2 linked regions of the Mus musculus genome follow. The protein of the gene in region 2 purifies or fractionates together with the protein of the main gene of each other region. This does not show direct contact. Links are inferred from orthologs where the notes say so. Each region holds a gene or a part of one and is shown on either strand. Other genes may lie near its edges.

The links. Proteins that work in one complex are often made in the same cells at the same time.
Region 1: the proteins of Ift88 (region 2) and Hspb11 purify together in Homo sapiens (affinity purification with mass spectrometry; 3 studies listed by BioGRID and IntAct, with this or other methods). This does not show direct contact. The link is inferred for Mus musculus from reciprocal best matches to the Homo sapiens genes IFT88 and IFT25.

The regions. Positions count from the first base shown.
Region 1 is NC_000070.6:107,252,722-107,256,758, forward strand, and holds the start of Hspb11 (intraflagellar transport protein 25 homolog), read left to right. Parts: upstream 1-1,181; 5' UTR 1,182-1,274; intron 1,275-4,037. UniProt on the Homo sapiens protein: Component of the IFT complex B required for sonic hedgehog/SHH signaling.
Region 2 is NC_000080.6:57,444,555-57,448,116, forward strand, and holds part of Ift88 (intraflagellar transport protein 88 homolog), read left to right. Parts: intron 1-1,010; coding exon 1,011-1,125; intron 1,126-2,986; coding exon 2,987-3,218; intron 3,219-3,562. UniProt on the Homo sapiens protein: Positively regulates primary cilium biogenesis. Also involved in autophagy since it is required for trafficking of ATG16L and the expansion of the autophagic compartment.

The DNA of each region.
Region 1 (4,037 bases), on a different chromosome or scaffold from region 2:
TCCAGCCCCCATCCTTCTCTCCCTCCTCACGAGTCTTCCTCTCACCATCGAGGTTCCTCTTAGCACCCTAGTCTCCCCATCTCTTTCCCGGTTTTGCGTCCTCAACCTTCAGATTCCCCTTTCTTCACGCCTCACTATCTCCAACTTCCCAATCCACGGCCTCAACTAGTTTCTTCCCTGCCCCCCCCCGCCCCACCCCTCCCCCTATTCCAACCCTAGCTCCTTCCCTTGGTGCACTCCTCAACCCCTTTTCTTTCCCCCTTTCCCGGCACTCCCACCCAAGCTTCTCCCCAAGTCCACCTAAGCTAAATCCGCTCCCTCTCCCGCCCAGAACCCTAAATTCTCACACACCCTCAGTCTAACCCGGGACGCCGCGGACCCCACCCTTAAGCCCACCTCAGGCACCCCTACCTCTTCATCCTCCCACCCCTCCCACCGCGAGCTCTACCTCGTCCCTAGGGCCTTTCCCCTCCCCCAGCCCCTCACACTCCGCCCCCGCACCCACGCGCTGCCTGAGGCTCGGCGAGCGGCCCGGCCCGCGGCCGCCACCTACCTGTGCCCCTGCCCGGGGCAGCGAGCGGCTGCACCTCACTGGCGGCTCCTTCCTCCACTGAGCGGCTGACCGGGAAGCGGCTCGGCAACCTAGGCCACAAAGCCCGTGAGGGTGGGACACACACAGAGGGTGGCAAGAGGGAGGGGCTGGGGGCGACCTGGCGCCGCGGGACTGAGGTACCAGCAGGGAGGGGTGGGGGGGGAAAAGAACTCGGCTGGGTAGGCGCGCGTGCGCGGGGCCGGCATGAGGGGCGTGGTCTGATCTGGAGTGGGCGGGGCATGTGGCGGGGCGGGGCCGGGAGTGGGTTGGGACAGCCGAGCTGAGAAAGCCGGGCGGTCGCAGGAAGGGTGAAAGGGGCGGGGCGGGGCCGTGCGTGTGCGTGCCCGCGCGAGGGCATGTCCCCCGAGATCTCTTGGAGGCCCCCCCACCTCCCCGAGGCAATGCAATGTAAAGGTAGTCCTGAGGAAAGACGCGCAAGTGAGGTGGCGCTTCTAGGCGGAGCCCCTGCCAGGAGAGGGCGGGGCGGGGCTGCGCAGGGCGCGCGCCTGGGAACTCCTCTGAGGCTGAGGCGGGGCGGGAGCGAAGCGAAGCGAGGCGGGGCGGGGCCAGGGCCGGGCGGGGCGTGACGGGCGGGGATCGCGAGCGGACCCGGTCCTTTCGCGGAGCTACCCAAGGCCCAGGCGAGCGGGTCCGTGCAGCACGGTGGGCGGGCACCGAAGAGGTGGGAGCCCGGTGGCGAGGCCGGCGGAGGGTTGCGGGCGGGAAGGAACCGGTTGTGAGGAGACGCGCGGCGGGTGACCGCGGGTGGAGCAGCGATGTCGCTGGGAGAGAACAGAGTGATTAGGGCCTGGCCTCTCTCTAGGCCCCCCTCCCCAAGAACTTTTAGTGCCCTGAAATGATGCTTTGACCCTCAGAAGGAAGAACAATTACAAATGACAGTTAATATGCCAAACGTAACACATTATCAGCACGGTCCAACCTCAAACAGGAATAATATTTAAAGTCAATGTGGGTGCATTTACGTTATTTGAAATTATTTGAGTCTTGGAGGTGAGAGGACTGTGTCCGGGCTGCCATTATGGGAGAAAGAGAATGACCGGTTTTAAATTTACACCAGAGCTACCAGTGGATGCTGTAGGAAAGGATTTGGGGCAGGCAGATGTAAGAGCACACAGACCCAAAGGTGCTGGTCAAGGAGAAAATCAACCCAGGACGTGACCCAGAGGTTTTCTGAAAGAAGTACCAGAAAGGGCTACACTGTATATTTAAAGAGAAAATCAATGGCCCTGGGAAAGGGTAGGGAATCCACCGTCCCTGTCTGTAAAACCCAGAAGGATGGATGGTGTCCTAGAGCCTACTACCACTTTGGTAGAGAGTCCCTGAGGGTATTCATCCTCGCTTAGATCAAGCATTGCCTCTCAAACCTCCATCTTGGAGCTGTGTGGAAACATGTCTGCTGGGTGGTTTTATGGGTTTCTTGGGATTGGTTTGCCTCTTTCTCATTAACTGCAACAAAACCTTAATGAAAGCCAAATCTCTGCCCCTGGTTTTAAAGAACAGATATTGGTAGTTCAGGTATATTCATTTTTTATTAAAGTGCTTTATATTCACTGTATTAAAGTGCTTGTTTGCTTTTTCCTTAGATCATTTAAGAATAAGGTAAAAAAAAACCTGAAAATTTGAAGAGAACACACTGTATCTTATTCATCTACTATATACATAGATATGAGAACATTTCCCTAGATGGTAACTCTTTTATTTATTTTGGTTTTTTGAGAGCAGGTCTATTCTAGCCCAGGAAAACCTTAAACTCACTTCTAATCCTCCAGCCTTGACCTACACAGTATATGGGGCATCACCCCTGACTTGTAATTTTTTTGAAAATGTATTATGCTCCCTTATACATTATTTATCCACATGAGATATATATCCTGTATTTACCTGTTTTGAGACATTCACACCAATTTTGATAGTAAAACTAGAAAATATAAAAACACCACAATTTTGTCAACCTTTTGCAGGGGATGTACATCTTTAATGTATGCATAACTGGAGGGGGCACTGGAAGTTTTAAAAAATGTTTATTACATTTATTCATTTGGAGGAGCATGCTTATGAGTTGGTTTTTTTTTTTTTTAATCTGCCCCGAACAGTATGGACCTTAATCATGTCTTTGAGAGGTTCTGAACTGAGCACCGTACTCTAGGTGTGAATCACATTGTTAGCACCCAGCCACTAGTTGTGTGTGTGTGTGTGTGTGTGTGTGTGTGTGTGTGTGATCAGCTTGCTGTATCAGCATTATAAGTGCCTGGGCCCTTAGTACCCGTGGACCCCTTACTGATGGAATGTGCTACCTCTTTAACTTCTTAAGTTGCGTTTTTATTGGCTGTTGGGTATCAGGCCTGGGGCCCATGCCTGCCCAGTGTCACTTTCCCATTGTCTACACCTTCAGCCTAACTTTTAGTAAATCTAAAATAATACTTTTTTTTTTTTTAAATAACACTTTTAAATTTTACCTTTGGGCCAGTCTTGTCTTAGTCTTGTCTTATGTTGATTTTTGTCATGGACTAAACAAGTTAAATTTTAATACATCTAGATCAAGGGTCATAAAAGGCCAAACAATATTTTAGGCTTTATAGTCTGTGACAGCTACTCAGTTCTGCCATACAAAGGCAGCCATAGACAATATGTAAATTGATGGATATAACCTTGTGCCAATGAAACTGTTCTATCTTGTTCACTTTCTCTCCCTTTCTTTTTGCCTCTCTCCCTCTCCTTCATTGAACCCAGGGTCATGAACATGCTAAGCACAGGCTATACAACTGTATTATACGCCCCTGCCCCTCCAGCATTTCTTTTGAGGGCCAGTTCTATTACTTAGCATATAAGCTGACATCTCAGCTTTGTCATGTCTACAGAATTGATAAGCACACTTCTTATGCCCATATTTAACAATGATGTTATTTCAAATACCTTTATTTAATTCTGCTCCCCGCTTCCTTTGACAATAGGATCTTATTCTGTAGCTGAGGATGGCCTGGAGTTTACTATGTAGCCCAGGCTCCCTGCCCACTTGTGATAATCTTGCTTTTAGTCTCCTACATGCTTTGATTATAGATCTGTACCACTATGCCAAGCCACATAAGTTTTGGATGGGATTATAGCTCAACAGTAGATCATGTGCCTAGCATTCTGAAAGCCCTGGGTTTAGTTCTTAGCGCTATAAAAATAAATTCAAATTTTAAGAAGTGCCGAATAGTACATGTTCATTTTGTTTTGCTAATAATCATTCTCTGAGTGTAGCTATTCAAAGAGCTATAAGTAATTGTTGAAGTATTGTCTGTTATTCAGCCTATATTTTCCTGGCCCAAAGTGTATCTTGAAAATATTTGTTAAAATTTTCAGAAACAAACATGTTCCTAATTGGTAGAAACTCCAAGGAGGAAAAAAAGAAAGTTACTTTGGTATAATTTGATAGTTAATG
Region 2 (3,562 bases):
TTTATATTTATGATGTGGTGTCCTGCTTGAAGATACTATGTGTGAAAACCTATACGAATACAAGAAGAAATGCCATTGCCATGAGATAAGTGGCTAATGCTAAACAGAAAATATATTCCAAGCTGGCGAGGTGGCTCATGCCTTTAATCCCAGAACTGGAGGCAGAGGCAGGTGGATCTCTGAATTCACCTGGACTATATAGGGAGCTCCAGGACAGCCAGGGCTACATAGTGAGACCCTGTCTCAGAAAAAAATAAAAAATTAAAATATTTTTTGTCCCATCATCATAGGAAGAAAGAAGCATGATAACCATAATGTTTCTTTCCTTATGTGACTGTTCTCAAGAGATGAGTGTACATTTATATTGTATAATTTTGTCATAATATTAAAATTTAATTAGTTTCCTTTAATATTAAAATTATGTAGCATTATTGAGTAACTTACAGATGTCTCATATTCCTTTTTTAAAGTGTGTGGTGTGTGTGTGTAAATACAAATGCATGTATGTGATGCTGTACTTGTGGAGACAGAGGACAGCTTGTAGAGTCTCTTCTTTTCTTCCTCTGTACATCCAAGTTGGAAGCAGCCCCTCATGCTTGCACAGCAAGTGCTTTTAGCGGGGTCTCTCCTGTCTCATGGTTTCCTTAGCATAAGTCTCATGCACGAGCACGTGACAGTGGTGTACTGTTTTGATGTTAGAATTTTATGTATAAAACTTCATAACAGGACCCATGAGATGGCTCAGTGGGTAAACGCTCTTGTACATATGACTTATGACCCAAGTTTAGTCCCCAGATCCTAGAAAGTGGCAGGAGAGAGCCAACTCCCATGAATTTTCCTCTGACCTACACATGTGTGCTATACCAGTACACATACACACGCAATACATTTAAAAACATTTAAAGCTTCCTAACTTGAAAAAAAAGTTTTAGAGAATATAGGCTAAGATTGTCTATAATATCATAGGAAAAGTACAAACATGAAAATGCTTTATACTTTTTTTTAATTAGGAAGACTGAAAGTGAATATGGGAAATATTTATTTAAAGCAGAGAAATTATTCCAAAGCCATTAAGTTCTACCGAATGGCCTTAGATCAGATCCCAAGTGTCCATAAAGAAATGAGGTAAGTGTAAAATATAGTGTCTAAATTTTAAGTATCTCTTCATAAATAAGATGACTATGATTTGCTGTCATTGGGCTGAGCATTTGAAGTGTTTATAGATGAGAGGTGTTAGGTTCATGTTTCAGATGTGGTATTTTGCTCTGTTCACCTGTGTCTGTTTGCACACACCTCTATAATGGCAAAATTAAGGTTAAAGGAATAGTGTATGATCAAGTAAAATAAAACTAAGCTAGCAGTGCAGCTGTTAGTAACGTTACACAGCTTAACACCAACACAGCCTTGACAACAGTGCTGACAGCACGGCAGACCACAGTACGTGGCTAGAAACCAAGACCCAGGGGCGCACTCCTCCTGCTGTGAGACAAGTGAACCTAAATGATCACGGTGGAATGAGAAGTTGGGGTGTTCTCTACCCCTGCAGTATTCAAGAGCAAAACCTGTATTTGTTGGTTTAATGTTCCCTAGGACATTTCGTTTGTGATAGTCCCTTTAAATGCTACTATTCAGCAAGTGCTACCTAACTTACACATTACTCTAGAAATACCCTTAACTCAGATAAGACCAAGAATTTGAGCATGTCAGGAAAATGTAATTTGGGGGCATATATTAAATGCTTAATAATGACTGAGGCAGTGGGTGCAGTAGTAATTTAGCCAAGGTAGTAACTACTGAGGACTACTCCGAGTTCTGTAAGGAAGGGAACTGAGGTGGGTTACATTCATGGAATGAGTGACCCTGATAACAGTCTGCTAACTATGAATAGACAATGAGATTATGTTCAGATATACTTAGAAAAGAGGCGGGATCACACCTGCTAGAATGACCCAAAAGGACAGGTATTGATGGAGATGCTGATAAGTTAGAAATTTTATGCAATGGATATGTGAAATGCTACAACTACTTTGGAAGACAGGCTAATCTTAAAAGGTAAACATTTACCATATGGCCATCAAGAAAATTTACACTATTTCAAAGGTTTATATGTGAATATTCATAGTAGCATTAATCATAGCACTAATCTAAAATTCCACCAGGTAGGCAGTAAATAAGAAAATATGGTATGGCCAGGTATGGTGGCACACATCTTTCATTCCAGTACTCTGGAAGCAGAGGCAGGCAGATCTCTATGAGTTCAAGGCCAACCTGGTCTACATAGAGTGCCAAGCCACCAAGGCAGCCAGGGCTACATAGTTGAGACCCTGTCTCAAAAAATAAAATAAAATATAGTATCTATGATATAGAATACTACTTAGTGGGGCTGGAGAGATGGCTCAGTGGTTAAGAACACCGACTGCTCTTCTGAAGGTCCTGAGTTCAAATCCCAGCAACCACATGGTGGCTCACAACCATCTGTAATGAGAACTGACGCCCTCTTCTGGTGCATCTGAAGACAGCTACAGTGTACTTAGATATAATAATAAATAAATCTTAAAAAAAAAAAGAATACCACTTAGTGATTTTAAAAGGTGGTGAATCACCAATACTACAGTATAGAGGAACCTCAGGATTGTGTCAGGGAATGAAACCCGACACTTCATAGGATTCTACTTATAGGCAATAACTAGGAAAGGCAGAGACAGGAAGTCAATTCGTGGTTGCCTAGTGCTCACTGAGGATGGGAACAAAGGGTTTCTTTTCAGGGTAATATGTGGTTATTGTCCTGCATATGTAAATACAGCAGTAATCACCAAATGTTGTGATCTCCTGTTACTCTATTAAAAGGCTTTTATAAATTAGAGAGTAAGATGAGAAAGAGGCAGGGAGGTGCAGCTCCTGAGCGTCAGAGCAGGATTCACACAGTTTAGGCTGGTCGGTGTCCCTCTTTGTTTAGCATTAAATAACCCGTGTTTTCTTTGTTTAGGATCAAAATAATGCAGAACATTGGAATCACATTTATAAAAACTGGTCAGTACTCAGATGCCATCAACTCATTTGAGCACATCATGAGCATGGCCCCGAGCCTGAAGGCAGGCTTCAACCTCATCCTTAGTTGTTTTGCCATTGGAGATCGGGAGAAAATGAAGAAGGCATTCCAAAAATTAATTGCTGTTCCGTTAGAAATTGATGAAGATGATAAATATATCTCCCCAAGTGTGAGTATGCAAATGAGAGTTAACAGCATCTCCTGCTTGTCTGTCTTTCTGTTTTTGTAAATGAGCTAATTGGAATTTCTCAAGGGGCAGTTGATATATTTCATTTGCTATTTAAATTGAGTTGAGAAAGGAACTCTTGAAATTGGGCTAGAAATATGGTTAAAACAGACCATGCAATTTAAGTCAAAACTTTAAAAAAGGAATCATTAAAAATAAGATTTGACTATACCTAGACCGTGTGACTATGGGATGTTTATTTCCTGGTTAGTTTTTGTCAGCTTGACACAAACTAGAGGCCCCTGGGAAGAGGGAGCCTCATCTGAGGGACTGCTTCCATCAGGTTG